2 linked regions of the Bombyx mori genome follow. The protein of the gene in region 2 interacts with the protein of the main gene of each other region in a pairwise test. Links are inferred from orthologs where the notes say so. Each region holds a gene or a part of one and is shown on either strand. Other genes may lie near its edges.

Region 1 (7,649 bases), on a different chromosome or scaffold from region 2:
TGTGTTCTTTGGTAAGGGCTGCTTTTGATTTTAGAATGTTAACTAGTGCTTCTTTATACTCATCACACTCTCTGACAGTGTTGTTTAGAGTATTTTTATACGTAGTTAATTCATTTTCTAACACTTCTTTTGCACTTGTTAACATCTGTACTTGGTCTTCCAATTGTTCTAATTCACTGTCAGATTCTCGCAATCGCAATGTTAAAACGTGTACAATATCTCTTGTTACTGACAAAGATGTTTCAAATTTGTTTTTCTCTTTGATAGCTTTTTCCACTGCAAGATTTAATTTATTCTTTTCATTTTCATAGTTAATAGTTTTCTCAATTAGCTCATCTTTTAAAGTCTTTATTTCTTCAATAAAATTAAACTTTTCAGTTGACAATTCATCTTTACAATTTTTCAAATTGTTCAATTCCTGTTTCAAATCGGAATTCTGATTGTTGGTTAAATCTAAAGTATATTTTAACTCTTTTATCTCTTGTTCCAAATATTGTATAGTTTTCTCTTGCTGCGAGCAATGCTCTTGAATGCTTTGGCTCCGCTCCTCAAACTGTATTTCACATATTTTAAGTTTTTCACTAGCAGATTCCTCAATTTGTTCAAGTTTCGCTTTCATTTCCTGTTCTTTAATAATCAATTGACTATGGAGTTGTTCTAAAGCCTCACATTTCTCTTTTAACATTTGGTTTTTCAAGGATTCAATTGATGCATTATGTTTTGTTTTAAGATTTTCTTGATCAACTTTACATTTACTGATAATGGCTTGTTTTTCTTCATCCAATTTAGTCTTTAGAGCTTCCAATTCTATTTTGTACTCTCTCCTGATACTTTCATTAGCTTCCAGTGCCAAAGCATGGTGTCCCTTAACCATCTCCAATCTCTGCTGTGTTTCAGCTAATGTTAATTCATTGCTTGTTAATTTTTCTTGTAAATCTTTACACAAACTATCTCTTACAGTGATCACTTCTTCCAGTGATGACAATTCCATCTGCTTATCATACACTTCATTGTCAAGTGCTTCACATTTTTTTTCAAGTTCAATAATCCTACTTCTCATATCATTTATCATGGCAGAAACTTTCTCAGCGTCTGTACCTTGAACAGCATTATGTTCCGTGTGGCAATTTGTGTTATTAATTCTAAGCTTAGAAAGTTTTCTGTCAATTTCATTGAAATCAATATTGTTATGAGATTGCCTAAATTTAGTTGCAAGTTCTTTTAAAATTTCTTGAAGTTGAGCTATCTCATTTTTGTAATCTTCTATTTGCTTGTTATACTCACATATGGTTTGGTCCTTATTTCTGAAATAAAATAGTATTTAATTATACTAAATAAATTTTAAGATCAAGTGAATTTATCAGCTAATTGAAATAATTATTTACAAGACTCACCTTATTTCAACATCTTGTGCTTGAACTAATTCATCCTGTGGTAATATTTTATTTTTGGGACATGTTAATGTTTTCTTAATGCTGCTGTTAGGAGCTTTGGTAATTTTGAAAGCTTTGGGCTGAAATTAATTAACTCGCTTATAATTTATATTATGTTTGTTCATATTTTATACACAGCAATTGACGACTTTTTCATACATTTCATTATAAAGACTGAACCCACAACTGCATGTGCACAGTAATGTGGTAATATTGTCACTAAGTTAAAAAACAATTACTACCTAGCCCATTGTCAAAAATTCTTTTAAATACAGTGAATAAGTACATGAGCTAGGGCATATAATGTTACAATTACTACAATTAATATTGAGCATTAAAATAATGCTGACAGTACCTTTTTTCCCTACATATTTACTGGTAGTTTAAGGGGCTATTCCAGCTTCTCGCAAACATGTTATAGTACCATATAGCTATCTACTCGTAGAAGAAATTTATAATAATTTTGCAAAGGAGTAGGCCAAGTATGTGGTATTTACATGTTTGTACCAAACAGGGAATTTGCAATAAAAACATAATGTAAAAAAGTTTAAACAGTACTTACTGTGGCAAATTTTAATGATTTGCTACTTTGGACACTACTACATTGAGACTGCCCATCGACTGGTCTAATAGAATTGAGTGTGTTACTGCGACTTTTGCACAAACTTGATGATGTCTTCGTATTAATTTTAGTACTTTCACTATCTAATTTCTTATGTACATTTGTCTTCTTTTGATTTTTCTGGGCAACTGGAATTTTAAAGCACTTTTAGAAACAGGAATCAATAAATTTATGGCTTTAACAAAATAAATTACAGTACATTTATCACACTCGCTGGTCTAGCTTAGTAGGTTGGATCGCTCTACTACCGAGTCCAAGTTCGATTCCCAGTCTGAGTCAGTAACTTTGTTTATTCGTGATACATATTCTTGACTTATAAATGTGTTTCCGGTGCCTATGGTATAGTAGAAAATTGTATCCGGGGACCGTTAAATGTGGAAAGTTTATTAGTTCTATTCATTATTAAACTGTAGTGAATAAACTTACCAAGTGGTTCAAACCGCTTAGCTTTTGAAAACATGCTGAATATATTTGAAGAATCGCGTTCTTCGGAAATAGTTTTCCGGAACGACGAGAACGATCTGTTAATGTATTAAATTATTAATGAATAAAATAGATTTCGTATTACATATGTATTTAATTAACTGTTTAATATATGGACAGTTAATTATAATACCTAGCTTATAAAGTTAAGAGAAGGAATTTGACTTGGACCGAAACCGAGAACTGAACAGAACTGCGATGTGGCGCGGGAAACTGGACGGTTGGTTTTATGCATTGACGCTTGGTAATAATAAACAATAATATCTATTCAACAAACGAACAGCTGCAACGAACCGTTAAAATACGTTCCGTGCCACGCAGAATCATAGATTTTAAACAATAAACGAGATTTAAAATCAGAAATCTAAGTCAAATTATTCGACTGTTTGATTTTGAATTCACTTTACATTACACATACATAGGGCATAATAATGTAAATCCTTTGATAGGGCATAAAATACTGCGTGGCAGCATCAAAATTTGAAATTAAATTTTTTATGTTATAAAATATTTAACTAAAGAGTTCATCATTTTTATCTGCAACATTTCGAATTTCGTTTTAACGTGCTTAAGTTAGAATTAGCGTCAATAAGGCAGCGTCATTGGCGAGCAGTTAAAATAGCCCCTTAGGCTACGAGCGAATAGGTGGGAGAAACGGCCGATGGGGGATGCAATTATATAGATAATATGTATTTTGAATTGAATTACAGTTGATTCCGGTATTGTTTATGTAATATTCCATTTCGATAAATCCTCTCTTCTCCCTCCCGTCGTGGCCGCCGGTAACTACATTCCTGATCCTGCGGACCGAATGGTAAACAGTCGACGTCACCCAAAACACGTCATCTCGGATCCTCCCGATCCACCAACGGTGCAGGTACTCCAAGCACCGGTCATCGTTCTCGTCGAACCCGTCGAAGGGCTCGACGAGTATATTAACCCACAGACACAGCCCACTGAGTTTCTCACCGGATCTTCTCAGTGGGTCGCGTTTCCGAGCCGGTGGTAGATTCTGCGAAGCACGGCTCTTTCGAGGGTTCGGGTTAGCAACAACGTCAGGTTTGAGCCCCGCGAGCTCACCTACTCGGTCGGTGACGCTGATATGGTCTTGAGAGAATATCAGCTTAGGTAAGAAAAAAAATGTAAAATTGTAATTACGTACATTTGTGTTATGTTGTGGCGCCACGTGTCTGGTTGTAGTGTTGACCGCGGGAACCCCCTACTCTGACGGGTTTTGACCCCGGACGGAGATCGGACGTCGGGTGTAAGAGTGCAGGGGAGTTGTTTAGTGCGGTAGAGCCCTAAAATTCCTTGGGCCCGCGGTCTGCTCCCAACACCTTGCAGATCGTCAAGTCCCACATACCCCGCGCGCCCCCAAGGCGCGGGAACCTCGTAGGAGGTTCGGCCTCCGCGCCGAAAAAAAAAAGGTAGTGAGTTTGCGAGGTGTATTAGTTGTTTATTTGAAAAGAACCTATAGGTAGTCAAGCAAGAATGATTATTATTAAAATGGCTACATCAAATTTTGCCGATTCATGTTCATTTTACCAACACTGAGTTTTATTTTATTTATTTAGTAGTTATTACTATTTAATTAGTACCATAAGGACGGGGTAAGATTATTAACTTGCGACCATGAGTGTGTGAAAACGATTTGTAAAAGACATAGACAAAGATAAGTTGTTCAAATTGGAATTGAGATATTTGTACGAAATTGAAAAGAAAAAGCTTTTATCATAGTTATGACATATATATCTTTTAATGAAAAACTCCCTTTTTATTACCATTCTAAACACTTTTTTTAAATAACATTTAAACACACCAAGGAGGTAGAACTAGGTAAACCCAGGACTGAAGTAATATGTTCCTACTAAGGATTCTTAAGAAAAGTCATCATGGTCAAGAGGATAAGATACCCAACGCATTCCTAAAAGCTACATTATTATGCTAATCACACTTCCTACAAACTCAAAGTAGGTATCAAAAGACTATTTGGAATGCAAGCTCACATCCTACATGGCATTAAGGGTTACTTACTGGTGACCTATTACAGGAATTGAAGTCAAGACACAATCGTTAGCAATAATTTTTTTTATGTATATTGGAAATTTTTGTATTTTCGTTTAAAAACATCTTGACATTAAAGTACAAAAAGACCATAATTGAACAGAAAAGAGTGTTAATTAATGAAATTAAATTAAATGTATGTCAAAAACTTTATTGGAAAAATATCAACTAATTACATAGAGGGTGGTGGTGGGGGCACTGGTAATAATGGTGGTGGCGGTGGTACTCCCAACATCGGTGCTCCAGGAGGTGGAGGCAACCTCATGCTATGACCCTCCCACATTTTGGGATGGGGGGGAGGCATGCGTAACTGATCCATCTTAAATGCAAACTGCAAAAAGAACTGCTTTGTGTCCTTGTTCCAATGAGTCCAGAATTTTGAATCATGCTTTTCAACTTCTCTGCTAGGGACTTTAAATGCAATAGTTTCATAAGGCTCTGCTGCAAATAACAAATACTGCCATCTGCGGTCTGGAGGCTCAATCTTCTGTTCATAAGCAGACATAAATCTATGTCTAGGTATAACACCCTCTGCAATCTCTAAAAAAAATATTACACAGCATTTGAATATCTGTTCCTCTTTTTAGTATGGTTAATAAGAATTATTTCATCTAAATGACTTAAAATAAATTTTAAAGAGTAAAAGATTAGAAATATAATAATTGTAAAAGAAAACCTATTTAAACTACTTTTATTTCAATTTCACTTTTCATAATCATTGAAATGACTGTACCTGGATAATCTACTTGGAAGAGCAAGCTCTGCTGTCCAGTTTCAGGATCTTTCTGTTTTGTTACTCTGTAACCAGGTCTACCAATCTTCACAAATTTCTTAGGTTCAATTCTAGGTTTTTCCGGGGCAAGCTGTTGAGGCGCTTCTTTGGCTTCCTTTGCAGCTCTACGTGCCAAATTGGCTTGATGCTTCTTCCCTTGCGTGTGAGCCAAATAACTTCCCTCATTGTTATGCAGGGTTAAACAAAGTTTACATTCATAGGACCCTAAAAATGAAGTTTACGTTTGTGAAGTGAACGAGGTTAACATGTTGAAGTTATAACTAACGTTTATTACTCACCTAAATGATTTTTCATAAAATATGGATCTTTGTTTAAATCTATTGTTTCTAGTGCAAGCTGTCGTAATCTCTCCCGCCGGTCTCTGTTACTTTCCGACCATGACGCTACACCTCCTCCACCAGTTTTACCGCCAGGGCGATTTTGAAAATCCATTTTAATTAAAAGTAACACTTATTTTAAGCTTAGAATATTAATTGTCCAGTTGACAAAGTAGTTAAACTTTGACATTAAATTAAATTGAAATTCGTAGTCTGCTCTGTAATTAATATAACCTAACATGACATTTGATGACATGAATTGATTTTTTTTAAGGGATTTTATGACCTGGTTACTAAGACCTTTAGGTCAAGTCTTATTTTAATTTTAATGAAAACTTTTCTCTATATGGGCCGTTTTCCAATTACAGCACAAGAGCGCATTATACGGCATAATGCTCAACTAAGCTTCCGCATAATTCGGCATTGTGCGTCACTGAGTCGGATTATTCTGTGTAATTAGAAAACTACCATTAAATAATGGTAAATGGAAAACGGCCATGAAAAATGATATTATGAAATGAAATGAAGTTGATTATTAAGAAGCATGACATGAATCGAAACGAAACGAAATCTGTAATCTGAGACTTTAATCAATTGGGATGAAAGTAAATGAAGTAACTGATAAATTTTCTTCATTTTTTATGCTACTACAAACGATATGTTGACTACAAGCAAAATCTGCTGTAGTAAGCGCTTAAAGTATGTCTCTTGTACGAGTATGAAAAGTTAGTCGGACACTATTTAATGGAAATAAAACAACATGGATGTAAAACATTTGTAGGTGTTCAATGAAATTAAATGAAATAACCTCATTTCGACGAAACTCACTTTAACACATGCATGCACGCGCGCGCTCATATAAACACACACACAACATCTCATTGAATTTCGTTTCCTTTAGTCATTTCATTCCATTCATTCCAATTTTACATTTCAGTTAATATTCATATTATGTCTTCCCTACAAAAGATTTGGCTGTATGAATTCAAAGTTGATGATTGTCGATTGATTGCTATTTGACAGTTGACAGCTTTCAACAAACTTCCCTTCAATCCCCTTGCTCTTTTCTGTGTTAAGTTAGCCTACAGGTAGTACAGTTTTTCTTATAAAATCGATCTTAAATACATTAATCAGTGCATATTACTTATTATAAGTGTTATAAGTGAAGAAAAAAGTTATTGCGTAATCTTGTGATGAATATATTTCAAGAAGTGCTACGTTTTTTTCACTTGTATGTCTTAACCCAATAATTTGTTGTTTTAGGCGGCTTTCAAGATGTTGATGCCCAAACAAAACCGTGTTGCTATTTATGAGTACCTCTTTAAAGAGGGAGTCATGGTGGCCAAAAAAGACTATCATGCACCGAAGCATACTGAACTAGAGAAGATTCCTAACCTCCAAGTTATCAAAGCTATGCAATCACTCAAGTCCAGAGGTTATGTCAAAGAACAGTTTGCCTGGAGGCACTTTTACTGGTAGATATTTATTATGTTTCATGTGTTGTCTATTATTTGTCGTAATTTTCATAGATTTAATGTAATGATACGATTCTCATAGAATTCTGTATCAACTACACTAATTTAATATAAACACTAATATTTTATACCTTTTAACAATTTGTTGAGAATGTTAAATATTGAGATTAACTTATATCTGTCAATCAATGTCTGTTGTTTAGGTGTGCAATAGAGTACACATTAATAATAATATGAATTGTTTGGCGCATTAAATTAATTTCACTAATAACTTTTTTTTGTCAACCAAAATGACGAATCTGAAAAAAAAGCTGCTTACCTTCAGAGAAATACCAACCTTTAAACATCTGATGTTGTTGATTTTAGACATTTTTGTTTAGATCACTTACCTTTTCAATGGATTATTTAATTCTCATATCGTGTCTTGTGTGGTGTCAACCCGTAATATCAACACTGCATCTC
Region 2 (11,856 bases):
TACGTTGTAGATATCTATGGGCTCCAGTAACCACTTAACCCAGATGGGCTGTGAGTTCGTCGAACCATGTAAGAAAAAAAAAGCTGAGACACCGTGACTTAAACCGTATTGTCGGTCATTGATCAGCTGGCGATCCTCAAGATACTTCAAGAGTTCACATATATTCTTATTGGGAATAAGAGGTCTTGGATTAGGGGTGTGATAGGTCAGGGTTACCAACAATAAATAATTACAATATTATTTGGTAAATATTTAATTTTCCCACCATTAGATAATTTCAATGAATCTTTTTATCACGACTAACGTAACAACCTATTGACTGAATGTCAATATTCTGATGTAAATTCTGTATTAATTCTTCCAACGTGTTTCGCAGTCCCTTATCATTAACTTTTATAGTATTTTTTTGTATTATTTCTTTCTACCGCCTCGTTCCTTGATCTGTAGCTGTATGACGGCACCCGGGGGCACGTTGTAGTACGCCAAGCTGTTAGTATCCTTGAAGAACAGACCCTGGAACAATACTTATATATTATCTGATGGAAGATTCTGCGAAGCACAGCTCTTGCTAGGGTTCGTGTTAGCAACAACGTCAGATTTGAGCCCCATGAGCTCACCTATTCGCCTGACGCTAATATGGTCTGTCAAAACCGGGGAAAAAATATGGCTAATCATTTGTTACGGTGAGCTATGCGAGTATTTGAGCGTGTCGGGATACCTCGTAGTGCAGCTTCTGCTTGGCGGTGGGCATGTTGGTGGCGCGCTGCAGCATGGCCTTGAGCTCGGCGACGGCGGCCGACAGCGGCAGCGTCAGCGGCACCGCGCGCCCGTCCAGCCGCCACTCCGCGCGCTCAGGCGCCGCCGGCAACGACACCTGCCGACACAAGGGACAAGGGCATTAGGGTACAATATCATACAATTAACATAATGCATTCCTGGTGGTAGGACGTCTTGTGAGTCCGCACGGGTAGGTACCACCACTCTAGGGCCCTGAAAACATCCTTGGGCCCGCAGTCTCGCAGTCGCGGACCAGTCCCACGTACCTACCCCGCGCGCCTCCTAAGCGCGGAGACCTCGTAGGAGGTACGGGTGCTTTTCAGTATATTATCAAAATAGCCCTTCTACTCATATCTGTTCATAAAATATTTATAACTATTGATACAGTGCGCCCCACGATTTTTTTACAATAATATAATTTTTTCTTAGACTATTTTTAATTAAAATTTATTTTCTATTTTTTTAGTTGAATTTTAATTTATTAATTTTTTTTTTCAATATTTCAAAACTTTCATCTGATACAGTCGGTAACTTATCCGAGAAATAGGTAATCAGCGGGCCTGGTGGTTTCCCATCTTGGTTTTGACGCAGACACTCAGGGTCTCAGGAAAACAAAAAATCGCTATTCCTGATTATCCTAGTAAGGATAACGAGTCTAATTGTTTAAAATATTGAATTTTAATCGGTCCTTAATAAGTATGCCAAATTTCGAATCAATCTGACGTTTTGAAGGGGGTCAAAATCATGTTCAAAGATTCCGTTACTTACTAACATACGTATGAAGCTAATAAAACCGTATTAAATTAGAGCACTTCTGTCTACATATTAATATTGGGGGTATATTAATAATACGCGCGGGTGGGTACCACCACCGTGCCTATTTCTGCCGTGAAGCAGTAATGCGTTTCGGTTTGAAGGGTGGGGCAGCCGTTGTAACTATACTTAGACCTTAGAACTTATATCTCAAGGTGGGTGGCGCATTTACGTTGTAGATGTATATGGGCTTCAGTAACCACTTAACATCAGGTCGGCTGTAAGCTCGTCCACCCCTCTGAGCAATAAAAAAAAATAAAAAAACACTGGACCGATTTTCTATTTGTTTGTAGTTGTAATGTTTGTTAGCGTAAGAGCAATCATTGTAGTGTTACTGGTAGCCCACCTGCAGGGGGACTGCGCCGGGGTGGCGCGCGAGCCAGGCGCCCTCGGGCTCCAGCGCGTCCTCGGTGCGGGCTCTCTTAGCGGCCGGGCCCTCGTCCTCGGGCTCCGCCACTGTGCCCGGAGGGACTACCGCTCCGAAGTTGAACGCCGGCGGTGGTACTGCACCTAAGGCGATGCAATCACATTATTGGTACAAAATGTACTGAGCGGATGTGTTATGCAAGAAGCACACACAATATTTGGATAGTTGCATGCATTACTGGCACGCGAATCTACAGCTCAACTGGCGTTAGGTGGGGTCCAACACACCGTGGGTGCACAGACCGAAGCCGATACTCACCGACCCACGATGGGTCGGTCCCCTGCACAGAACACTTTGACCATATGATCCCCTCACAGCGATCACATTCAGATGTCACTTTACTCTATCATTCCATCAACTCTTCCTCTAATCTGTAGCTTAACTCCCTAAGACTACATGTACATTGTCCGGCACCAGTAAATCAGGCACGCGATCTTAGCGCCATGTTGTACGGAATGTGTGCAGTGTTCGAGTATACGTACCCACTGGAGCCGGTATGAGCGGAGGTCGGGGCGCCATGGGGGGCAGGACCATTAGCGAGGACATCGGCTGCAGCAGCACAGGCGGTGCCGGGGGCGGGGGAGGCGGAGCAGCGCGGGGGGCAGAGGGGGGCGCGGGGGGACGCCCCGCCCGGCTCTGGGCTGCCCCGGTCACTGGCTTCGGACCTATTTTCTCTTTCTCCTCGTCGGGGAGTAGACCTTTAACCTGAATTGTAATCAATCGTAATGAGTATCTTAAACGAGTTTCGAAGAGAATGTTGCAATAGTATTTCTTATTATGCTCGTTAAAAAAGTGTATCTTCAAATAACCTAAGCTATTACGTCATGTTTACCATTATACAATTTCCTTACTATTTGGAAATGCAGTAAGAAGTTACTAAGGCGTATGTCGCAGAGAGCATGGAACAATTATTTGAACAAACTAATGGCCAACTCCAGGTCAACAGCTTCACGGAACCTATAAACATCAGATATAGTTCACCAAATGAATTCCATGAATTCCGCCACCTCCCTTTATTACAAGTGTTATGTATAGATATTAAATCGCATTATAAAATGGCGGGTAGATGCAAAAATAAACCAGTCTGCTTTGGAATCTTTCATTTGTGCATACACAACAGTATAAGCTAAGCAAGTAAAATAACGAGAAGATAAAACATTGATCCAACACAAGCCCGAAGCGTACAAAGTTAGTCAGTGTAAAATATCAATACTTTAGTGAGCAGGCTTAACTAAAGGCGGGTAATCATCAAGTTAACTGAGCATTTTTAATTGCTTTTAAAAGCTAAATACAAATAAAGCTCATAAACAAACACTTTTATTGAGAAAACAATACAAATTTCATCCGTTCACTGAAGCTTCTGACACCAATCTTACACTAGCTACTATTAGCTCTTGATATGAGTATGAATCCAATCTATATATGGCACAATTGAAGTCATTGTCTCAATTTGATAGGCCTGCTGTCTCTCATTGTTCTCCAAGCAGTCCCTCTTGCGTCCACTGGCCAGGAGTGCTATGACCCCGGTGCTGTGGATGGCTATACCTCCAGTTTCCTGGTGACAAGCGTCGGTCAACGAGCAGGACCGAGCCAAACACATCCCCGGATAAGTAACGGTGCCTTCACAAGTCTTCACCACAACCGATGAAATCTGTAGAGTTCTCTTCAATTTTCCACTGGTATCATTGGTCGACTTGAAGCCTATTAGCTCAACTTCGTAACCGTTCATAGAGAACATGTCAACGGCGCTCAATTTGGCGAACTGTTTAAGGGTGATGGGATCGGTGCGCAGAAGGCCGATGTCGTTGTGAAGCATTCTCGGTGACGCGGCATATCTGGGGTGGACTATTCCGGAAAGGATCGCGATGGCGGTGTCCTGGGAAGGTTTCTGCGTGAGTCCATAGTACACCACCCATGACATCTTCGGATCCTGGATTAGCAAGTCTTCGGTTTTGGAGACGCAGCGCGCGGTGGTCAGGGTCCAGGTCGGGGTCAGCACGCACCCCGAGCACAGCAGAGCGTTCGTCGTAGTATTCGTGAGTTTTAACTCGACCGTCACAACGTACGGGTACTCATCTTCTAAAGCATCTCTGCCTGTGCGCAGTGATTTCGTGCAAACCACAATATTTACAGTTTGCAAAACGAAATATAACATTAGATTCAATGCCACAATACCCATTATGTATTACAATGTTGTTCAACATAAGAGAAATACAATACACGTGAAACATTTTTATTGTTTTTCTGTTTTAATGTTTTATATTTTATTGACGAGATTTTTATTACGCGCTGTGCAATGTTATTCGCGATCGGGTTTCCCAGCAGTTTGATTGATATTTTATTTGTTTAAGGCATTTACGATAGTTTATGAAAACTTTTTTCTGGCACAGTGGGGGTGGGGAAATGTGTTAGTGCTTGTCCTTTTGGGAATACGCTGCCACAAACACAAGTAACTGAGTTTCTTTCACCGGGTCTTCTCATTGGGCCGTGATTCCGACCCGATGGTAGATTCTGCGAAGCACTGTGCTTGCTAGGGCTAGTTTTAGTAAATTCTCTCAGGATGAGCCCAGGGAGCTCACCTACCGGTCCGTGAGTAGTTAGAATAGCCCTTTAGGGTACCGACGATTAGGTAAGCAAAAAAATGCAAGCCCTTTCCTGCATTGAAGGAATCAGGGTTGAAGCCAATGTTCAATGAATCCAATGATTTTTTTATATATCATAATAATACCCTTTTTTGATTCATCCTACTTAATATTATAAATGTGAAAGTGTGTAAGAATGTATAGACATATTCAGAAAAGTACTTCGTAATTTTTCGGAAAAGTTCGTATTTATCGTGCTCTCTCAGTGCAATGACATTATTCATTTTGACACTAAATAATAAAGTTCCATACTATTGGATATGAAAATGTTACTCATTTAATATAATCATTCATTGACTGTTCGGGTGTCATCGTATTCCGATAAAGATCAGAGTTTTCCCGAAGGAAAATAATTTCCCACTACATCTTAATTGTTACTCTTTCACGCAAAAAGTGCTCAATGAATTTTGATGAAGCTTACAATAATATAGCTTACACTGCAGAATAACATGCATGTTAATCATGGTTGTAATGAATGGTAGGTGGATCAATATTTGAATAGTTATGACTATTCACAATCGAGTGCGCGATATTATGAAAGATGAAGATAGAAAATTCAATAAGATCAATAATAAGTTATAGTTCCCGAAGCGAAGCACGGGCGGGTCGCTAATTTAACCCTCAGACACAGCCTACTGAGTTTCTCGCCGGATCTTCTCAGTGGGTCGCGTTTCCGATCCGGTGGTAGATTCTGCGAAGCACTGCTCTTGCTAGGGTCAGTGTTAGCAACACTCCCGGTTTGAGCCCCGTGAGCTCACTTACATGTTAGGGCGAAGCTGATATAGCCGCTTAAGACTCAGTATATAGAAAAAAAAGTCACTAAAATCGAGTGCAACACTAAAATATTTGTATATTATTTTAAATTTTGTGGCTGGATTTATTCGCATTGTTTTCGGCCCCGGTTTATGTACTAGGAGACTCGACACATATTTTTCTACACATGCGTTTAAAATTTGAAAATTTCAAACTATTTTGTTCTATGAAAAAAAAAAAACGAAATTAATAAAGAAACATTTTGTAGTGGACCAAATGGTGTATCTAGAAGAAAAAGCCTCTCAAGGCTATCAGCATAGGTAGGGGGAAAAATGTATAAAAAGGAATATGCGGAGCTCTTTTGGAGGTGGCATTGTCCTTGTCGTTGGCCTGGTGGAAGGGAGGCGGCGCGGCTCACCTTGTGTATCTGCTGGATCTGGTCCTCGAGCGTGATGTGCGCCCTGGCGGCGCGGGTGGCGGCCTCCACGCTGGAGGTGTGCCCGTCCCACGTCACGCGCTCGTCGCGCTTCTTCTCCTCCTCGCCGATCTTCTTACCGATGGTCGTTTCCTCGTCCCCTACACCGAAGATGTCAGTACGACGCTCCGCCAACTACAACAAATGTTTATTATTTTCTTAACAGACTTACAAAATAAGGAGGTTTGCAATTCGACATTTTTTTGTTTCCTGAGGTTTTTTTCTCTTGTGAATTGATTTTGATGATTTGTTTATTTGAAAGCATGGTGCCATTTAAATTTTATGAAGATTTGATCAGTAGTTTTGGAATTATCCTCAATAGTTGCACATTTATTGACTTCAGACGTTTCTCTCTCGTTGTATTTTGTTGAATTCAGTTTTTTATTTAAAATTTGATATTATTATATAAACTTATTTATTTATTTACGTACACACAAAAAAGAAGGCATAGTACCGAGTAATAGGAAAATTATGTACAAAGGCACTGCTTATTTTTTTAAGAAATCTCTTCCAGCAGACCTGCGAGAGGATTATGAGAATAATAATTAAAAGTGATGAGTGTGTGTAGAACAGCTAAAATAACAAATACAACATGAGAATTATAGTAATGCACATACACATAGCAAATAGTTACTGGTGGTAGGACCTCTTGTGAGTCCGCACGGGTAGGTACCACCTCCCTGCCTATTTCAGCCGTGAAGCAGTAATGCGTTTCGGTTTGAAGGGCGGGGCAGCCGTTGTAACTATACTGAGACCTTAGAACTTATATCTCAAGGTGCGTGGCGCATTTACATTGTAGATGTCTATGGGCTCTAGTAACCACTTAACACCAGGTGGGCTGTGAGCTCGTCCACCCATTTAAGCAATAAAAAAATTTATCAAAAAAGTTTGGATGTGGGCATACCTGTTTAAGCGAAGCCTCGATGGCGGCCCCGGGGGCGAGCGCCTCGTCCCGGTCGGTGCGCTCGGCGGCGGCGCGGTCCCGCTGCTCCAGCCAGCGCGGGTCCAGCAGCCCGATGCGCACGTGCTCGGCCACCTTGCTGGCGGGGATCTTCTCGCCGGTGATGGGCGACACGAGCCACTCGTCCCCGGCGGCGGCGCGGGGCTTCGCCTCCTTGGGGTTGTACTTCTTGACGACGACGCGGTCGGGGCGCGGCGGGAGGGGCGCCTCGTCCGCGCGCGGGGCGTCTTGCTCCGTCTCGGACTGAAAAATAATTTACATGAATATTAGCTATGATATTATCAGAACAGCTTTTTTTTTATAATAAATAAATATTTACTAACAATCACACCACGTTAACTGGTTCTGTGCTAAGTTCGTAAAGAACTTGTGTTACAGGTACCAGATAACGGAAATAAATGTAAGATTTTTATTATACACATACATATATTTAATATACATCCATAACCCTGGAAAAAACATTTTATATTTATCATACAAATATCTTCCCTTGGCGGGATTCGAACCCGCGACCCTGTTGTGTAGTGACCATGTCACTTACCACTGCATCAAACGGCTCTGAACTGTATATATAGCATTGAAGGATTTTTTAAATGCTAGCTTTGAAATCAGTTTGTTGATACTGGTTCAGCTTAAATTGTAAAATCATTAAAAATATTACCTCCGAAGTCGAGCTTTCCTCTTCCATGTCTTGCACGCGGTTATCGTCCGGCCGATGGGACTGAGTTCGATCCTCCATTTCCGCAAGTTCCTCATCAGACTCCGATTCCGATTCGGATTCAATTTGCATCTCAGTATCATCGTCGTCATTCTGGTTCCGTATTATATCTTCACCCCTCTCTTGGGCGAGGACGCGGGCTCCGACTTCTAGTGGAGTGGTCGGAGGAGGGAAGTCTCCGGGTTCCCCTGCGGGGTAATCTACAGTTTCAACAACGACAAAATCGTGCCAGTCTATGGAGGCATACGCGAGCCTCTCTTTCTCAATTTTGGCCTCGTCAGCGGCCTTGCGCTTGGCTTGGTGCGCGTGCCAGGCAGCGCGACTGCGAGCTTGTTCTAATATCCCGCTGCGTATCTCAGCATTCAGCTTTGATACTAGTTCTTTTGGCGGCAGCAACACCTTCGTGTACTGCTCAAGCAGACGCGTGAAGTATTGGAACAGTGAATGCTGGGGACGAAGAAAATCAAACTGATGATTACGCTCCTCTTTCTTCATTAAATCCGTTAAGAACTGACGACCGTTTCTGGCGACAAATTGCGCGGTTAATTTCACTATGTCGAGCTCCAGAGCCGATATAGACGGTGGATCAGCGATAAATTCGAAATCTGGTGGTGGGTCGCGCGGCGGAGGCAGTTCTGCAGGAGCAGCTGCCTTGAGGAGCTCCTGCTGGCGGGCCGCTGTGGCTGGAGCGAGACCCATTCGTTGCTGTCCTGATGGCATAGTTGGTGGTGCAGTTGGTTCGGGAACTAAAAAAATACGACTATCAGTGACATAAGCAGACTAGATTTTAATCTTTCTATCAAATGTAAGTTGACCAAGCTGTGCAAATTTTATGTTAGAAGAACAATTCTTTCTTTTAATCAAAGCTGAGACATGATTTGTTTTTCTAGTGTAAAACAATTAAAGTGAAATGTTCCATAAGCAAACAGGTCATATTCATCACATATGTATATAATCAACAGTTGCTATGCTGGCCCACATAATAATATCAACAAGTTGTCCTGAACCCACAAATTTGACAATAGCCTTCTTTCTGTCACATTGTTATGTTAATATTTTAATTAAATTTTATACTAATTTAAATGAATAGAATTTGAAAACTTACCTTTTCCCTCTTTGATCTCTCTGACTTTATGCTGATAGTAAGCATGGTAGGGATCCCCTGAATTAAGGAAGTTGAACTTTGGATTGCCCAGCTCATTCTGTCTGATCCTAGCTTCAAATTCAGGACCATTACGAGCCACAAAGCTGGCAGTTTTATCAACAATATCTATTTAGCTGGGTTAAAGAAATATTTTTGAAAATTCTGAAATAAAACTTTGAGCTAATTTAATTTTGAATATCTTTCTGACTAAAATAAAGAACTGGGAATAAAGAATATTTATAGCATACCGAGCATGAAAGAGTAATAATGAACTATTTAAACATAAACAGAAAACGATATTAACCATAAAATATAGTGAGGAACTAAAATTTTCTTTCATAAACATATCAACGCTTGAAAGGCAAACATGACTAAGCGACAATAACTGCTTTGTACAGAAGTGATAGGCAATAACCATATTCGATGCGCAAAAAATATATATTTCTAGGTCTATTAAAATCATTTCAACCCTACAGCTAGATTCGTTATAATAGAATTTTTTTCAGGTATTTCTTATGTATATTTTAAATTAATTTCAACTTTAAATTAGTCTACTGTAAAGTTCATGCATTGTCGCTTAGTCACATTTGCCTTTCAAGCGTCAATATATTTTAAGTGAAACCTGATTTTAAGGTTTTAAGTATCCTTACTTGAGGAACAATCTCACAGTCCGCCAGGGGTAAAGCAGTTATCAGAGCCTATTGAAATCACAATTAAAATACTCCATACTTTCAGAAATGTTTTTTTTTATTGCTTTGATGGGTGGACAAGCTTACAGTCCACCTGATGTTAAGTGGTTACTGGAGCCCATAGACATCTACAGCTTAAATGCGCCACCCACCTTGATATAAGTTACAACGGCTGCCCCACCCTTTAAACCGAAACGCATTACTGCTTTATGGCAGAAATAGGCAGGGTGGTGGTACCTACCCATGCGGACTTACAAGAAGTCACAAAATCATTTTCAAACAATTGGGCTTTCAATTAACAAAAATATTGACAGAATGGGCTAATTAAAAGTGAATTCAGTTATTAATTTTCTACTTATTGTGGAGATTGCCTATTATCATGAACAATCAAGTCTACAAGATATTAATCCTTTATCTATTTCAAAATGAATTTCTTTGTATTTCAATCAAATTTCCTTAATAATTTATTTAGTAGCTATCATGCTTAGTGTTATCAAAAAATACACACAGAGTTGTTTTTCCAAAATGTTAATAACCAACAAACGAGAATTTGTTAAAATTTCCATCCTTTTTTTTATTATCACATTATTAACTTCCTTGTGCTAGGAAATAATTTAATAATCTTACCAAACCAAATATGCATGGCAAAACAGATCATGATCATACTTACAAAAATCAAACTATGTGACAGTTTAATTATGTATTTGTATCCTTTATGCGAATCGTTGTTTTCTTGGTTACGCCGATTATGTTTTTTAACCATGAATCAACGAATTAATCCAAACTCGAAAGACCTGATTCCGGTGGACAGCGGATGTTTCAGTGCCGTCAATTTGATATCAGAAAAGTATTTAGGATATTTTGATTTCGGATTAAAATGCATTAAAATCGTAATTTATATCTAAATACTACCTGTTTATTATTGTTAAAAGGATACTTCTGACTTCAGGTGGTGGATAAATAATGCCAATGACTGGAGGGGGTGGTGGAGGCGGATCTTCCGGGATCTCTAACGACTGCCCCGGTGGTAGCATTACATCTATAGATGGCATTGTGCCTTCCGTTTACAGCTACTCTCTCAGAAAAGTAGACGATATTTACGCACTATGAACAACAATTTACAACAACAGCCCAAATGACGCTATAAATAACCTCAAAATTTGACAGTAGTAGTAGTTCTATTTTTCCAACTGAAAAGGCAAAGATATCCTACCATACAGCTTAATTTTTGTATATTCTAATCTCTTTCATGAAAAATTAAGGAGCAAAATGAAGTTGATTGAATGATTTGCGGCATTTGAGATGAAATTAAATGAAACGATATAATGTGAGATGAAATATAATCTCAGTGAAATAGTAGTTATTTACTGAGAATTTCAGTAGACTTTTTGGAAGATCCCGAGAAACTCTGTCCAGCGCCTTTGTTTCATTATCCCCATGGAGTTATTATGTACCTTCCCATTAAAATTTTACAGTAGTAAAATTTAGATCCTTTATTGTTCTAAAACAGGGCAAGCAAAGGAATCATATCAAAAACTTTAATTTATAGAAGAAGGCCTTGCGTCTGTTGTATGAAAAGTTATAAAACTATATTAGAATCCGAAATAAAATAGAACGGATTTAAATGAGGTAAAATATTTAACTATAATATAAACAACCAGATGATGGATGGTTGTGATTGGCACGTTTCTTGTCTTACGCTGGCCTCACGCGTCGGGGTGTCTCGGTAATGTTAATGCAATATTTAGGTGCGTTTTGGCTAGCCGCTGTCCCACATGGTTCCGCTGGAGGTGGAGTTAATTTGAGTCAGTGTTTAATAGCTAGTTCATATCCTAATTACACGCGATGCAAGCCTGCACGGGTGAGCAACCACATTTTACCAATTTTTGATTCGAGCAAACATGCAATCAGATTTGAGGTAACATTGCAATACATTTACGAGAATGCAGGTATTTGTTTACTTGTTTTTGCTTAGATTGGTAGACGAGCTCCCGGCCTAGTTGGTGGTAAGTGGTAGAAATAAGCAATAGGTGGTGGTACTTTCCTGTGCAGGCTCAGAAGATGCCCTACCTCCTATAATTGAAGACATGAGTGGATGAACGGGACATGATACAATTTTGTTAATTTTTCAGAAAACGGGTAATAAACTTGTTACTTGTACTTTTTCTTCGTACATAACTCATTCATCAAATGCAAGTTCTAAAAATAACCTTTAAATCCGTAGTTTTAAGGTCTAATATGGTTTATAGGCACATAACACCTTCATTCAATGCAAAAACAAAAAAAAATAATTATACCTAACCCCTTCATCCACTCATATCATCAATTATGCATATAATATTTTTTGTGGGTTTGGCTTTTATTACACGATGTTATTCCTTGATCGTGGAAGCAATTCGTGAAAATGAGTAAGGTACACGTATTACACTAGAAAAACATGTATCTTCAAGCAGGATT

The links. The genes of interacting proteins can lie anywhere in the genome.
Region 1: the proteins of splicing factor 3A subunit 1 (region 2) and splicing factor 3A subunit 2 interact in a two-hybrid assay, tested with the Caenorhabditis elegans proteins (2 studies listed by BioGRID). The link is inferred for Bombyx mori from reciprocal best matches to the Caenorhabditis elegans genes prp-21 and repo-1.

Annotation. Positions count from the first base shown.
Region 1 is NC_085119.1:6,722,620-6,730,268, reverse strand, and holds splicing factor 3A subunit 2, read right to left. Parts: upstream 6,114-7,649; 5' UTR 5,828-6,113; coding exon 5,674-5,827; intron 5,600-5,673; coding exon 5,336-5,599; intron 5,143-5,335; coding exon 4,775-5,142; 3' UTR 4,738-4,774; downstream 1-4,737. Other genes in the region: uncharacterized protein LOC101737912, read right to left, coding at 1-1,304, 1,395-1,513, 1,996-2,183, 2,482-2,515; RpS10 (ribosomal protein S10), read left to right, coding at 6,988-7,187.
Region 2 is NC_085112.1:2,354,445-2,366,300, reverse strand, and holds splicing factor 3A subunit 1, read right to left. Parts: upstream 10,593-11,856; 5' UTR 10,452-10,592; coding exon 10,337-10,451; exon of another isoform or gene 10,070-10,336; intron 8,873-10,069; exon of another isoform or gene 8,837-8,872; coding exon 8,672-8,836; intron 8,313-8,671; coding exon 7,510-8,312; intron 7,092-7,509; coding exon 6,792-7,091; intron 6,023-6,791; coding exon 5,831-6,022; intron 5,825-5,830; exon of another isoform or gene 4,197-5,824; coding exon of another isoform or gene 3,405-4,196; exon of another isoform or gene 2,723-3,404; coding exon 2,500-2,722; intron 2,101-2,499; coding exon 1,937-2,100; intron 875-1,936; coding exon 719-874; intron 514-718; coding exon 412-513; 3' UTR 238-411; downstream 1-237. Other genes in the region: transmembrane protease serine 3-like, read right to left, coding at 3,405-4,196.